Caenorhabditis elegans: one gene and its partners. The protein of the gene in region 4 purifies or fractionates together with the protein of the main gene of each other region. This does not show direct contact. Each region holds a gene or a part of one and is shown on either strand. Other genes may lie near its edges.

What was found.
Region 1: the proteins of fkb-7 (region 4) and ZK632.4 fractionate together in Caenorhabditis elegans (co-fractionation; one large-scale study listed by BioGRID). This does not show direct contact.
Region 2: the proteins of fkb-7 (region 4) and spp-14 fractionate together in Caenorhabditis elegans (co-fractionation; one large-scale study listed by BioGRID). This does not show direct contact.
Region 3: the proteins of fkb-7 (region 4) and Y38A10A.7 fractionate together in Caenorhabditis elegans (co-fractionation; one large-scale study listed by BioGRID). This does not show direct contact.

The regions. Positions count from the first base shown.
Region 1 is NC_003281.10:9,805,012-9,809,424, forward strand, and holds ZK632.4 (putative mannose-6-phosphate isomerase), read right to left. Parts: upstream 2,444-4,413; coding exon 2,312-2,443; intron 2,128-2,311; coding exon 2,019-2,127; intron 1,809-2,018; coding exon 1,596-1,808; intron 1,548-1,595; coding exon 1,368-1,547; intron 1,318-1,367; coding exon 701-1,317; 3' UTR 504-700; downstream 1-503. Other genes in the region: gtap-2 (Gamma-Tubulin Associating Protein), read left to right, coding at 3,535-3,663, 3,719-3,809, 3,861-3,976, 4,085-4,223, 4,272-4,413. UniProt on the Caenorhabditis elegans protein: Involved in the synthesis of the GDP-mannose and dolichol-phosphate-mannose required for a number of critical mannosyl transfer reactions.
Region 2 is NC_003284.9:7,724,364-7,726,949, reverse strand, and holds spp-14 (Saposin B-type domain-containing protein), read right to left. Parts: upstream 972-2,586; 5' UTR 971-971; coding exon 815-970; intron 766-814; coding exon 610-765; 3' UTR 567-609; downstream 1-566. Other genes in the region: K09F5.6 (Protein tincar), read right to left, coding at 2,341-2,586.
Region 3 is NC_003283.11:6,094,394-6,097,642, reverse strand, and holds Y38A10A.7 (N-alpha-acetyltransferase 40), read right to left. Parts: upstream 1,447-3,249; 5' UTR 1,433-1,446; coding exon 1,332-1,432; intron 1,287-1,331; coding exon 948-1,286; intron 897-947; coding exon 740-896; 3' UTR 550-739; downstream 1-549. Other genes in the region: smut-1 (Synthetic MUTator), read right to left, coding at 1-358, 406-538.
Region 4 is NC_003279.8:10,665,839-10,671,875, reverse strand, and holds fkb-7 (peptidylprolyl isomerase), read right to left. Parts: upstream 4,069-6,037; 5' UTR 3,918-4,068; coding exon 3,875-3,917; intron 3,241-3,874; coding exon 3,056-3,240; intron 2,820-3,055; coding exon 2,745-2,819; intron 2,699-2,744; coding exon 2,600-2,698; intron 2,009-2,599; exon of another isoform or gene 1,859-2,008; intron 1,619-1,858; coding exon 1,311-1,618; intron 1,214-1,310; coding exon 1,042-1,213; intron 981-1,041; coding exon 906-980; 3' UTR 519-905; downstream 1-518. Other genes in the region: C34B2.4 (LIM zinc-binding domain-containing protein), read left to right, coding at 1-43, 88-166, 214-331; B0511.12 (Pecanex-like protein), read left to right, coding at 4,999-5,066, 5,219-5,387, 5,434-5,536, 5,856-6,032.

The DNA of each region.
Region 1 (4,413 bases), on a different chromosome or scaffold from region 4:
CTGAAACGAAATTAAATCAAAAAATGGCAATTGTATTGTTGAATAATTGAAAATTTGTCCAGTTGTGGAATGTTTCGCAATGCAATCAATATTTGTCCTGTCAGAGGGACGAGGGTGTAGTTTGAACGGCCATGGCCATATGGTCTGCTAAATGTTTAGCAGACCATAGCTATTTAGCAGACCCAAGCATGGTATGCTAAATATTTAGCAGACCATAGCTATTTAGCAGACCCAAGTATGGTATGCTAATTATTTATGTTAGGGACGTGAAGGACACAATAATTTAGCAGAACCAATACAAAACCTTTTTTTGTTGATAATTGTTCAATTTTAGCATTTTTTCAATATAAAATACAGGATTTTACAATAAACCTCCGAAAATTATTGAATAGAACATTATTTGAAATTTTAACGACCGGCCAGGCAGCGCTAATCGTAAGAAAGAAGGAAGTAATGTAAACAATGAATAAAAATCCTCAAATAATTATTAAGAATTGAAAAATAAGGAATAAAAATTTATTATGAACAACCCTAGATAATGAAAAACAGTGACTAGCACTTTTGTATGTAATTGAAATTCCAAAATTCCAATTTTTAGCTGAAATAACGTGGAAGCTATAGCATGGCAAGTTTAATTTTTAAATACAATCATTGCGTAAAACTGTGGTGAATTATATAAAGACATAAAAAGATTTCTGAATTAATCAATAATCAGACGCTTATTTGAAAGACTTTCGAGGGCTCTTGGTGATGGTGTGAACGCTCGGAATGCAAGAAAATCATCAGAAATATTAATCTTGGGACGTTCAGCGTCATGTGTAGCTCCAATGAAAACGACTTCTCCTCGATTCAATACTTGTGATGCATCTCCCAATGTAACTGTTGCAGTACCATAGAGAACCGTCAAGACAGAACATGATTCGGAGTAAGGAAGTTGGTAGATCGATCCAGCGGGTCCTTTGACTTCCTGCACCCAGAACTCATCAATTCCACGTGGAGTAAATAGTAGTGATCCATCGTCCAGTTCATTTGGAATATATTTTGGAAGCAGGGTCTCATCATAATTCAACATTTCAACCAATGATTCTACATCAATATATTTTGGTGTTAATCCAGCTCGAATAGTATTGTCACTGTCTGCCATACACTCAACACAATCTCCTTTCAAATAAGCATGTGGCATGTTTGGTTCTAAAAATGTTGCCTCTCCAGGTTGTAATTTGAAGTAGTTCAAGAAAATTGGAGCAAATACACCAACATCTCCAGGGTACAATGTGAAAAGGTAGACAATTATTTCATCAAGAGCCGTTTTGTTTTCTGAAATTTAGTAATTAAAAAGAAGATATTCATTCAAAAATATCGCTTACCATGTCCTTGAATTCGTCTGGCAAGTTTATCAACAACTATTTGAAGTTTTTCCTTTGGAGTTCGCCAAATTCTTGAGAAGATCTTTTTGAGAACCTGTGCAGAACTCTCTCCATAAGATCCTAAACTGTCGATTTGACTTTTCTCTTCTTCGGTGAGCAATTCTTGAATTTCAGAGTACACTGAAAAAAAGCAAATTTTAATGCTTATAATCTAATTGTGATAATTACATTTCAGATATTCACTAATTTGTGAATGTTGCCGAAATCCGGAAAGAAGCTCGAATTCAGTCAGAGCAATTGCGATCTCTGGTTTGTGGTTGTCATCTGGATAGTTCTTCGGATCTGTAGCATGAAGAAGTTTTCCTTGTTCTTTTGTTGGATGAATTTGGATTGAGAGTGGTCCAAGAACGGAAAGCACTTTGAAGAGGAATGAAAGGTTGCCTGAAAGAAATAATTAATATTTATTGACAAGGTCATGTTGTTCTTTAAGGAATTGAAATGTATCAATTGGCTTGAAATTTATGTCATTCGGAAGCTGACATCGAATTGGATATTCCTTTTTGCTGATCTCTTAACTTCCAAATTACATAAGTTTCAAGCCAGTTAGACCATTCCCAAGCCAGAACAGTAAAGAATATTTATTTTATTCACCTTTTTCATGTTTTCCCTGTAACTCTGGCGATGTAGCCAAAAGTTGTTTAAGAGCGATGTCTTTTTCGATGACGTGGGCCGGCCCGTTAGCGTGAGTTCCCACCCAGAACTGTAATAATAAAGATGATGAAAGAGAACGTGTTTCGGGAGTGATGTAGGCCGATCTGATCAGGTGATCGACGACACAATCTTCGAAAGTCACGACATAAGGTCAGAAACCACGGTAAGACGCCACAAATAGATTGAGAATCGCTTTAATTAGAACGGAAATAGATACATGTTTCATTACTCACTTCAGCGTATGGTTTGTCTTTGTCAAGATTTGGAATATGACCACCATCTAATGCAAGACTTCCAGCCATGCTAGAATTTCCTTTGGGTCCCCATGCGTAGTTATTGACAGTGCACTTTAGCTTCAGAAGCATCTGAAAACATGAATTATGGAAGAAATGTTTTGAGAGAACAGATTATGTTCGAAATATGAGTTAGGGAGAAAATAAAAGATATAATGCATCAAAATGACGGTAAACGACTGATCTCTCTAGTTTTCTCTGATCAACGCATGCGCTAAAATCGACACGTGACTAAATATAATCAGTCATAAGTTGACCATAAGACAAGAGAAAAAGACTTCCGAACTGGAAGACACGGAATACATATATATGACCGAGAGGCTCGGAGACGCAGATTGAAAACGCTGAGATCAGAACTATAAAACGAGTGCGACCGTCGACTTTTTTCATATCTTGAGTGGGTATGCGTGTGAGATTGCGTCAACGTGACTGCCTAAACTAATTGTAGAGAAAGGTCGTAAATTTTCAGACAAATCAAATGATTGTCGGAGACAGATTTATGGGTGGGATCATAAGAGAGAGATAGATCGTATTCTCGGTGATTATTTACACGATGAACGCACGCAACATGGCGACGACAACATGCGGCAAAACTGAGAAATTCCTTGATCGCTGATTTTGAAGCAGGTTAATGCCGGAAGTGGTTTTTAAATACAAAAATCGGGACATTTCTTAGCCAATGAAGGTCACAAAAGATCGAACAACAAAGTGTAAATTAATGAAAAATTATTTCAGAGAATCAGAATAGAACTTTGATGAAAGTTTATTTATTTTTGAAAGCAACAAGTTTTTTCACAAAAAATGGTTTTTACAGGCTCTATGGAAACAATGGAAAAAATGTTCCGTAGAAGTGCATGTTCTAATATTCAATAGTCGAGAACTATGAGTAAAGATGTAAATTTTATAAATTTAAATTCAAACAATACAAAATTTACAGTAGCATAAAATATTTTTAAAAAACTTTATATAAATGGCAACTAATACTCTAAAAACTTAGTCATAATGGTGGATTCATTTCTACTGAGACTGATGTTCCATAAAGTGTGATGCAGGCGTGCTCTACTAAACTCCTCCTAATGTTTTTTTGTTGTTTTTTCAATTGCCACTGTTTTTTTTTCTAATTTCAATAAAACTGAATCCTTTTTAAATTGTTTTTTTCAGAAATGCTAAGCACATTAAGCTTTCTAATACATGGGGAACAAAATGTGCAACAGTGCCAAACAATATCAGATTTGGAGTGTCTCTATCTGATCAATAAAAATCAGCCCTTACGAGACTCAAACGGGAATCCTGTAGGTTTGACAATTCTTCAAAAGAAACATCTTGGAGCTCAATTCAAAATTTCAGTTGACAGCTCACGAATTGACGGATGATTTGAATGAACGGCTGGTTACTCTAAAGCTAGAAGCATTTCGCCCGGTTGTCTCTGAAGTCCTAGGTATACATCTATAGTTTAAAGCAATTTTTGTTTGAGTTTAAATATTTTTAGATCAGCTGGAAGAACAGGATGATGCTCTCCACTATTTTGTGCTGGTCGCAACTTCCCGGTTGTCAGATGAGGATTTTGAGAATAGCTTGAAAGAAGTCTCGTTGTCCCAAAAATTGGTAAATTTTTATTTTCACAAATTTTGTAAGGTTTTTCTCGAGAAATCTTCTAGAAAACTGCTCATTTTTATATTTTTCAATCCCAGAATAAATTAATTCAAATTACAGATGGTACGAATCGATGGTGAATATAAATACAGATTATATTCAAAACCAATTGTACGAAATAACATTCCACAATTAGCATGGGATATTTCTCCAGCACTGAGAACACGCAAAGTGGCAGAAAAAGATGAGATATCACCACGTAAGAAATACTAAAAATGTTTTTTAAAATAACACTATGAAATTTCAGCAAACAATACAGCGAATGTATATCCAGTTGATGATTGGGGATTGATTTCACGGGAATTCAGATCTATTCTCTCATGTGAAGAGCTCATTTTAAGTGCTCGAGAAGGCCAATCAATCGAATTTTTTCATCTTGACAATCAGGG
Region 2 (2,586 bases), on a different chromosome or scaffold from region 4:
ACCAAACCAAAAATCAAGAATGATTTTGGAATAGGTATTCAAGCCTGCTTACCAACAGGACAACCTCTGCCTGTTTCAAAAGATAAATGCATTCACTGACAAAGTTTTGTCGAGATTTATTAAAATCGTTTGATTCAAATTTTCAACCAAAGAACGTGAAAAAATTCAAACGTTTACTGAAAAAAAACATTGATCATCGGAGTTTACTTCATCTTTCAGATTTAAATGTTTAGGTAAAATTTTATTTTAAACGCGGTTTATTAATTTTTGACATATGTAGGCTTGAATTGTTACAATTCAAGCTACACTTGCGTAGAAAATAACCTGATAACCTTATACGAAAAAAGTTTATTTCAGCTTTCAATTTGGAGCTAACAAGAAGTTGTCACGTTAGAGCCGAATCGACACTTTTTGGTAGTCAACGTCTATAGCTTTGATTGCCACTGTAGTTAACTTTGCTCTTCCTCTCACGAAAAGTCAGTTTTGTTCAGAGTTAGTGAGATTTATCAGTTTCAGGCGCGCTGATATTTGACAATTTGAAGTTCATATCTGAATAAACAATTTCAAAGGTCATTCACACTTTATCAGAAGAAAAAGAAACATAAAGAATTAGCACTCCTTGAGCTTTTTGCAGACATCTTCTGGAGCAGTTCCTCCCTCGAGCTCGTTGATGATGGGGTCAAGCTTGGAGTTTCCGTACTTCTCACATTCCTTCTCGGCAAATGGAATGATTCCAAGTTCCTTCTTGCATTCGGCGTCAAATTTCTAAAATCATATTCACTATAATGACCAAACGAACAGTTTGACTACTTACGTCCTCAACGGTGTGAGCTTCTCTGTCAGCTGGGTTTTCAGCAGCACGGACTCCGACCTCGCACATGAGGCAGCTCATGGCATTGTCCTGTTGGCTTGGGAGAGCCAAAGCGGTAGCGACGGCGACAAGGGCCAGAAGGCAGAAGGTGGTCTTCATTCTAAAAAGAAAATAATATAAAAACGACATTCTAACCTTATCAAGAAATCAGCAGTCTGCAAGTTTGTCATGAATGAAATGAATGAAAATTCCGAAAGATAAGGGAAGAGTTAAAGTGCTGTTATCATAACGATTGTCTCGTTCATTTTATACAGACTTTCAACAAGGAAATTTTAAGTGCTCAGCCCGACGAAAACTTGAATCGCATGACACTGTCCCGCCCACTTTTATAACCCACTGATAACCCGATAATCCGGAATCTTTGAGTTCTTTACTCTGTCTGATTATAAAACTCTATTTGAGATAAAACTGTTTACATCATATTTCAATAACATATTCTTATATTCCTTGATACTTTTAAATTTGTTTGCTCTTTATTAGTGATTTTTTTTTTTTGAAATTTGATTTCAATAAAATCTGAGAAAGAAAATATTGAAACAAAGAATGTGGTCAAATGGGGTTGACAAACAATAAAACGAATTATGACAAAATGTTCAGAGAAATTGTGGAAATTCAAAGAAATGTACCCGATATCCAACGGGAATATAGTACAGTAACAAAGGAAACGATTTTTGATGATTTTTGGTGTGGGGTGACATGAAAAAAGGGAGGAGGAGTAGAAAAACGTAAGAAGAAATTATCAGTTATACATAAAAATGCGGGAGGCAATTATTACGCGCTTACTTACAAGGGTCGAAAATCAAAGAAAGTGGCGAGGAAATTGTTCCATAAACAGTAGAATTCAGTCCGTTTTCAGCAATTTGCAAATCAAGACCGAAATTATAGAGAAAAATAAAAAATGAATTTCAACAATTATAGTGGGATGATGTGTTTGTTTGGCGGTTAACTGTTTAAGTGTTTGGCGAGAAGAAGTGCATTGTCACGGAGTTGATTTGGTTCATGTGTTAATTGGGGGAATAGTTCATCGGGATCAGTAGGGTTCCTGTAAAATGTATCTTTGTCAAAAGTTAAGAATGCAAACTCTGTGAACAGTGAAACTTATCAATTTCATCCTAAAATTATATGGGCTTTGAAACCGTTTTCTGAACTAATTTTATTAGGCTTACATGATCAGGTTACATGATATACAATTTCGGTTTAATCGTGTTCCTTATTTCTATTTAAAGGGTAATGCAATACTAATAGAGGAAATACGGTGAATCATAACATTTTTGTAAATTAATAGTAAAATATCTCGGTTTTTTTTTCATAATTCGATGCAGATAGTTATGATATCGCTTTCAATTGTTTCAATTTTTTTGATGATTTCTATATTTCAGAGTTGCAATCATTCCGTTTGAAAATTTTGAATTTGTAAACATTTCTAGTTACTTTTGAATTAAGACCTACCAAAAATGTAAAACAAATATTCACACAATGCTGGTAGCAAAGTCATTTTGGTTAAGTGCTCCAGTGGGTGGACGAGAAAAGCTTGATACAGTGTCATCTGTTCCGTTCACGGAACGAAGTATTGTATTTCCAGTCGTCACTGTTGTAGATTTGATCGGTGCTTTTTGAAGTGTCCTGTCAGCATATTGACTTTCTTTGGAAGCAACTCCGTAAAGATTTGACGATGTGGAAGATGCTCCATTGATTCGGGAATAGATCGGATTGGA
Region 3 (3,249 bases), on a different chromosome or scaffold from region 4:
ATATTGGTAAGCAATGGTCGCTCCCTCAATGCAATTTCAATCGCCGGAATAAGAAACGCATAAGTCTTCCCGATTCCAGTTGGAGCATCCACTAGAAGTCCTCGGCGGTCACGAATAGCTTGAATTGATTTTTGTTGAACTGCATTCAGAATATGAACTTTTATTCGTTGCAAATTGGCGGCAAGTCGGTGATCTTCTATTGCATGTGCAACCATCCTCTCTGTTCCATAATCAGCTGGAGTTTCTACTCCGTCTTGATCCACCATTATCGTGTTCTCCTCACAGTGTTTATTCAATTTGTCAGTTTCAGCTTTTGAAGATGTGACTGCGCCCAACTGCTGATGACGATCTCTCATTGCTGAAGAAAAGTTATTGAAATATTTAATTGCCCAGAACATGGTTTACCAAAATAATAATCTCTAGTTTTAATAGATCTGAAGTTGAGTACATTTGCATACTTTGGAGGAACTAAATCAATGTGCTCAACTTGTACCCGACTATCGTCTAATGCATCGGCAGTGTTCCAAGGATGAGGCATCTACAAAGATTATTACAAAAATGTTTATATTTTGGTTTGAAAATAAATATTTGAACGAAAAGTAACGGTTTTTACGACACAATATTATAAAAGTAGAAATATAAAAAACGTTTGTTTACCCAAAAAAAAATACATGTAACAATTAAGCCAGAATGAAGATGATAACAAATTAGAAAATCATAGAATCAGAATTTAATATTCTTATGTGCTCGGTGTCTCTTTCGACAGGATCGCATAATCCAGACCAGAATCATCGGATGGGCACGTCACGTCGCTGTTGTATCCATGTTTGTGAAAGAAGCCGAGCGACGGTCCATTATACAGAAAAACTGTTGCCATGACTTTACTCATGTTTGTCCTGAAAATAAGAGTTTTTGTTTATTGGCTCTCGAATTAATTGAAACTGTACTTTGAAGAGAGCTTTTCCAGCGTGTCGAGCATCATGCCACCGATTCCTTTGTTCTGATAAGCCGGTACAATTTGAAGTTCCCAACAATATGCCACAGGAATGTTGTGATCGACCACAAATCGATAAGTGGTATAGCCAATTTTATCCCCTTTCGAATTCTTCGCGATGATGAACCTTGATGTTGTTGCACGAAGTTCGTTTCGCTTGGAATTTTCATCGTATCCCCACTGGGATTTGTGATACATATCGTACATGTTCTCTTTGAATAAACTGAACACCCACTCGAAGTCTTCATCACTCAAATGTGTCGCCCACATGTAATCGAATTTGATAGTTTCGCTGAAAATAATAAAGATTAATTTGAAAATCATTCAAAGATCCTACCCATCAGTTGTAGTACTTCTTTGTGTCTCGCATTCGAATTTCTCAACTGGTTTTATGTGCTGACAAGCTTTTTTGACCAATTTTTTCGAGTCTACGGGCATTTTTGGGCCGATATCTGAAAAATTGTTTTACAATTATTGAGAAATAAAACATGATCGATTATACTGGTGACAAATTGATCAATAAAACCGTAAAGAATACTGAAAAGAAAGGATAGAATCATTTGAAAAAAATGCATATAACTTGAATGTCGTATATTGTGGTGAAAAGTGTGCAAACACCATCACGTCAAGTCACGGATTTGCTTTAAATTAACATTTATATGTAAAAATTAGTCTTTATTGATAAAAATATCGTTAAAATGTACAATTTTGTTGATAATCGGAAACAAATTTACATTTCGTATGTTTTAAGTTGTAATATGTCTCCTAGCTAATATTTTCAGGGTCATTCTTCGCTGTATCATCTGAAATTGAATGCTAGTTAGATATTTTCAATTTTTATTATTAGAAATAAAACAGCTATCCAGCATAAAAAACGATGTTTAATAGAAATATACAAAAAGTGTTACGACAGCACGTTCTTAACCATGCGAAAAGTTCAGAAGTCTGAGACCCGAAGAACTCGGGGGATGTCCAATTGGGGGGATTACCAACTCGGGGGATTGGCCCCGCCCACAGAACCGTGGCTTGCAATACGCCCATTTCTGCAACTGCCGCACGGTTTTAAAACTGTATTTTTCTCAATAGAGCGAGAAATAACAAGAAAAAATAATTTTAAAACCGTGCGGCAGTTATGAAAAACCGTGCGGCAGAAATGGGCGTATTGCAAGCCACGGTTCTGTGGGCGGGGCCAATCCCCCGAGTTGGTAATCCCCCCAATTGGACATCCCCCGAGTTCTTCGGGTCTCAAAAAATGGACGAAAATTAAAATTGCTGTCATACTTCAAACTGAAATTCGTTTCGAGAGTCAAGCCCGTAAATCGCCACAAGTTCTACAGTAGCCATTTAAATAATTATTGTAGTTTTCGCTACAAGACATTTTGCGCGTCAAATAGGTTGCGCAATACGTATTCTCAGAATTTAGTGTTCTCGCAATAAGGCGAAGTTAGGAGGCTTCAAAGATTTGGAAAAAGGGAATGTTCCGCCAGAATCTAACACTTTACCAACTTTACAGTCTCGCAGCGACCTGAACTCCACTTTCATAAATATAAATAATTACCCTCTATATTTGGTAGTTTATTTGTTGATTTAGGTTTAATTTCGTTCGATGGATGCATAAATGTAACAAATTTGTGCAATCATGAACTGAAAAAAGCATCGAAACCTACGCGGAAAAACCAGGCCATATTAACAAACGATCAACTGTGCACGTAGTGTCAGAATGTCCCATCTCGGTTTGATCTTCGAAAATTGCGGGAATTTAGACGCAGTCTTCTAAATTGATTTCGCATAGTGAAGAGTGTGCTAACGTCAACAGAGGATCTCCTGCTTATAAATGGTAGTTTTTTTGAATAATAAAATACGCACTAAAAGGTGGGGCTGAAAATGTACTATTTCTGTAACTACGTGAAGCTTCTTGTACCTACTGAAATATTGTTAATATATTCTAAAAGAGCTTAAAATTTACTACAAAGTTTCTGAAAGTCATTTCAAAAAAAATTACTTTGAAGAGATTTATGAATTTTCAAAGTTTGGAAAATCCATCTATTTTTGCCTATTAATGGTAGTTTTCATTAACTAATAAAATACGCACTAAAAGGTAGGGCTGAAAATGTACTATTTCTGTAACTACGTGAAGCTTCTTGTACCTACTGAAATATTGTTAATATATTCTGAAAGAGCTTAAAATTTACTACAAAGTTTCTTAAAGTCATTTCAAAAAAAATTACTTTGAAGAGATTTATGAATTTTCAAAG
Region 4 (6,037 bases):
TGCTCCGAGTGCCATATCAAGACGACTCGTCCTATTTGCAAAGGTATCTAAAGCTTCCGAAACTTCAGAAACCCTATAAATATCCAGGTTGTGGCGAGTTCATCAAGACCAACTTTTGTGAGGCGCTGAATTCCACGTGGCATCCCACTTGCTTCCAATGTTCTGTGTAATATACCTATTTCCGTTTTAATTCAGTTAATATTTCATTTTCAGGTGCCAGAAGCCATTAAAAGTAGATTTCCATCAACTTCCGAATCGAATGTGTGTCCATTCTGATTGTTTCTGGGATCTTCAGCTTCGGATGATTGTTGCAAAGGATTTGCCAAAATGAATCCAGATTGTTCACAAAACCGAACAGTTTCTGGAGACTTACATATGTATTAGCCTTGTTTTGAAAGAAATGAATTTTCATTTTTAGTCAAGTTTTTAACAAGCTAAAAATGTTCAAATTGGGAAAACACGTTTTTGTTACGTTTTTTACTACACGGAACTGATTTTGGTGATCCAAAAGACATAACATCAAAATTTTCGGAGTTTATTAAGCACGGGAAATGTTGGAATTTGCCCGGTTCAATCATAATAATAATAATAAATTGTTCAGAAAAATTATTGATAAACAAGACAATTAAAACACCACATACAGACTTTTATCAATTTTTCATAGACTTTGAGACACGACAAGGCACTACAGATTGATTTCCAATTTCTATTTTTCTTCATATTTTTTCATAGAATTTACTTCCTTTTCATGATAGTTATTGGAAAACTTTGAATCGAATGTTTTTGGGTTAGAAATTTACAAAAAGGTTTTCCCGTAAAGGTCCGACTCTACAAAAAATTACTACAACTATTATATCAACTTCAAAACAGTTATTTTATTAGTCAACAAAACGAAATTTAATTTATTAGAGTTCATCCTTTGATTCCATTGGCAAAAGTGTTGGCCCTGCATCAAATCGATCAGCAGCTTCATCATTTTCCTGAAAATTAAATTATCTTTTATTTGAAACTTTTTTTAAAGCAAAACAGTTCTCCACAAACCTTATAAGAAACAATTCCGTCATTATCAAAATCCAAAATCCATCCAATTCCAGGATCTCTCTTTCGTCCCTTTTCTTTTGTTTTCTTATCATTGATAAGTTTCTCATCTCGATCCATAATTTTCAGCCATTCAACTTCTGTCACAATTCCATCTCCATTCACATCGAAATATCTGGAATGTTTTTAATTTATCTATGTAAAATAAGTTTCTGAAATAAAAATCTCCAGTAATTTGAGAATCCATCAAATAATAAATATGCATAACCTACTTGATATAATAACCAGCAGCAGTGACATTGTCAATATCCTCATTCTTCCATGTCTTTCCAAATTCTTTTTTCATTTTCTTTTGGAAATCTTGAACCTCTTTATTTGTCAACTGTTCATCCTCATTCAAATCCAAAAATTTAAACTGAATCTCTGGGGTGTATGGCTTGATCTCGACCATTTCAATGTTAAAAATCAGCCAGTTTTCATCATTCGGTATATTTTTCCACACCTTGCTCTTGCTCTTTCTGCTCATACGATATGGTACACGGACTTTTCGAAGCTCTTCTGCACACATTCCTTTCAGACCCTGGAAATAAAAATAGATATTTGACTGTTTTTTTTTTCTGAAAGTGAACTTTCAATGGTTGTGATTTCACTTCAAATATTCAAAAAATAGGTTTTTCAAATAAAATTTTCGAGAGAATCAGCATTTTGCTTTTTATAGAATTGATTAAAATCTGCGTTTGGCATGGTTTCAGGCTATAGTCTGGTAGGCACACAAGTAAGTAGGCAGGTATGGTGAGGCATATTCAGGCAAACATTGACAGGTAGGCAAGTGTATAGGCAGGTATGTAAAAAGGCAATCGCATAGGCAGGTGAACGCAGAGGCAAACACAGCTTTAGACTTTGCGTGGGCATGGCTAGGCAAGTAGGTAGGCAGGCACGTAGGCAGGCACGTAGGCAGAGGTAGGATCTTAGATAGGCAAGCTAGGTCAGCGCGCATCTTGGCAAGTTTTCAGGCTTTGGAACAACTTTGCCTAACTTGAGGCATAGGTAAGTTTGTAGGCTGCCTTCCTCGAGCCTAAATGCTGCGTTTGCTTGTTTGTTTATATTATTGGTACATTTTCATTTTTTAAACTGGCGGCCGTGGTGGAAAATTTACAAAACAAAAAATTGTTCCATCAATCATTTCATTTTTCTCAAGAAAACAAGCAAAGTAGGTTACTTGTCAAGAATAACTATTTCGAACGAACATAAACAGGGAAACCGGTTTACTCAACTTTAGCCAAACCGGAGAACACATAAAACCTGGTGCTAAGCATTCAAATACCGTATTTCCTCTATTAGTTTTCACCCCTTTGCTCAACTTTGGCAGCTCATATTTCATTTTGTTTTGAACCTTTAAATAATTAATAAACTACAAACTATAGAAAAATATCTCACAAAAATTTTATCAGTTTACAACTTTTCTATAGAACAAACGACTACTGAGATATGATTTGTAAAAGTTGAGCAAAGGGATTCAAAACTAATATAGGAAATACGGTAGAATATTTAAAATGCTCACCTTATCAAGTCCTGGCATAATCATTCCAGTTCCAAGTTGAATTGTGACTGGACCAGTTCCATATGTTTGATATACTTTTTTGTTATCTTCTGTGAACACCTGGAAATTGAAATCAAAAATGTTTTCAGAAGTGTGCATTTGTTACCTTGTAATGGAAAGTTACAAAGTCCAGTCGTTTTGCTTGTTGAGGGCACTTGGCTGGCACAAACGTTTTTTCGATCTGAAAACTTGACTGTTGTTTTTGAAAGAAGTTGAGTCGCACTGGAAATGCAGTTATTTTGAATCATTAAAATCAAATTTGCAGGTATCAAAACCTTACATTTATTTTTTTTTAATTTAGTTATGTGATGGAAACACAGATGTTTTTGGAAAAAGGGGTAAGTTGTGTCCCGGGTAGTACCTAGTTACAATAAGTAGGAAACTCCAAGTAAGCGTAATTATACACATAAAACTCACCTTAATATCCAATGGACCACCATTATCCATCTCCTCTAAATGTCTAATTTGAGCTGAGCTCATCGGAGCTCCTTCTCCTCGAATTTCAATTACAGGAATATTTTCATCAAGTCCTCCTCCACCAGTTGGCTGCCTTCTCCCACCTACATTCTTCGAGGATGCTCCATTGTTCAGACCACCAAGAACTGGAAAAAAACTTCAAATACAAATTTAATCTGAAATTCAGTAGAGGCCCGTGAATTCGCATTTTTTGCAAATTGTACACACAGGGCAACTTAGTAAGCAGATTTTCTAGAAAATTTTTAAAAACTTGTGAAAAATTAGAAACTTTTCCACCCATCAAAATACTTTGGGAAACACAATTAATGACCTGAATAATTTTAAGATCTACTGTTCCAAGTTCAAAGTTCTCCAGAAATTTTCTATATGGACTCATTCATAAGGTTTCCTATCAAATGACAGGTTCTATATATAGATAGTCCACAAAATATTCAATTATTGAGCAATTTTTGAACGGCCTCAATATGAATTTTGGGTTTTTTTGGGTCCGATTGGCTAAAGTGATTTTCAAGTAGTAGACTGTACATTCTCAATCAGTGCTGCATCCCATTGGTCAACTTTGGTTGCTCATATCTCAGTTGTCTTTTGTTTAGTGAAAAAAATTTCAACTGAAGAAATAATTTCTAATTCTTTTTCTATAGTTTTGTAATTAATTTTAATTGATATCTACAAAATGAATTGAGATATACCGTTTCAAAATGGAGCAAATTTAAATTTCTGTCGGTTGGTAGACATATTCCTTGGATAAAAAAAAGCTACCTTGTGAAGTTAGTAGAACTAAGAATATGAATAAAGGTGTCATATGGTGAAATACGAGTGGACTGTATGAGACAGTGACAACCACTTATTATAATACAAGAATATGGAGGATATGTATTCCTTTCCACAGACACAAGAGATTCCGAGACACAAAGGAAAGTGACTGAACATGACGACCTTGTTCAATTCCGAGTGACCCGAGCGGGAAGACGAACGGTATTAGAGGGTCATTATGTAGAGAAAAATGGAGAAGAGGTTGTGAGAATTTGGATTTCGGAAAAATTGATTTGTAGATTTCCAAAACATTGTAACAACTAAAAAGCAACTTTCTCGTAGTTTTATAATATTTTTTGGAACTTTATGTTTATTCAACTGAATATTAGTTACTTTTCCTATCAAACAAATATTTCTCGATAGTTTCTAGAGCTAATTAGAAATTTCTGGAACTTTCCGAAACTTTCTGTATACTTTTCAATTGTAAATACCTTATTTCATCTATTAACCTTGTATACAAGACGCATCTTAATTTGTTGCGTAATTTTATAAACAAAATCAAGCTTTTACAACAACTTTTGATTCAAGTTTGAAAAAAAAATAGTAAAATTTCCAGGAAACATATCGAAAAGACAAATCTCCTCCGTAACAACAAGACATTCATCAGAGGATACATAATAAGTCATTCTGTGTAAATAGAATAAAAATTCACTTTTTGAACATCCTTAAGTTAAACCGAAGTTGCGCATTAAACATACTCAATTTTTCAAATAAAAATTTTTAAAAACATTTTTACATATGTTTCCAATTGCAATTATCATTATTTTCATCTTTTCAGCATGATATTCCACTTTCTGTGCCTGCCAAAAAAAGTTTTTCCGAGTCCGCAAATGCGCGTCACACACGGTGTTTGCGTACATTGTCGTCTGTTTTTCTGTTTTTTCAGCTTGCTCGCTTTTGCTCACATTTCATTGATTTTCACTTTTTGAAAAGCCTTTTCGCTTGAATTTTGATTGATTTTTAGTTTTCTGCCGAACAAAACCAGAAATACATTAGAAATATCGATTTTTGCAGAGTAAAACCGGAGAAAATCGAGCGATTTTGGAGTCTGAAGCTCTCGAGCCGCCACGATGAGTGTTGGCACACACATCATCGAGGTTATTCGACAGGGTATTTGGGCATCGCTCACTGGTGGATGGTTAGTATTCATTTTAAAACAATAAAAAAGTTTTTTCGTTGAAAACAGGTTCATAAAGTTTCTCTAAAAATTGATTAAATTGCTTCGTTTTTTTATAGAATTAAATTATTGATTTTCTTTAGCTAAATTCCAATATATTCAAAATTTTCCAGGTACTATGAACCGGGTTTTTCAATATTCTGCAACACAATGCATCTCTACGTATGGTTTATACTTATTATTCTTCCCCTTATCCTTGGATTTGTCGCTTCTCAAGGTGTCTCACTTGTATTTGCTGCTTCATATACTGGATTTATTGTTTTCTTTTTCACTGTTATTAAGGTAAATTTCAGAAACGTTTGAAAATTATGTATATTTTAATATTCAGAGTGTTGTCGCCTATCTGCATATGATTTTTGATACAACAGATCCAGTTGTGGTTACAAGAACAATCAATGATTCAGTGGATGAATTGTACAGAGAATCAGAACGTAAGTTTTTATTTAAATTCTAGTTATTAAAAAAGTGTAAAATATAGAAAAAATCATAAAACAACTGCTTGATTTGAATGCCTGAAAATTTCGGAAAACACGCTCCAAATCAAATTGCAAAAAAAAATTATAAATCAAGAAACCCCGAATAATTAACAGAAAAATGTTCAAAAAGTGTTTTTTTTTCGAAAAAAAAGTTTTCTTCTGCCATGCTACATGTATTCAAAATTCTGAAAGTGGTTGATTTTTTTTTCAACTAATTCGATCATCGGTTTTCATAAAAACCTTAAAAACTAAACCAGAACTAGCCAATTTTCAGAACCTCCACTGGACGTTGAAATGATTGAACTCCGTGACATGGGATATAATCTACGTGGCTCCGAAAGAGCTCTTGATGGAAGACGTGAGCCTAGTGTAAGAGAAGAGATTGCTGCAAATATGGCACGTGCAAGACGACATTTAGAAGCAGAAAGACACGCAGATTCTGCTAGAGAAAGTGAG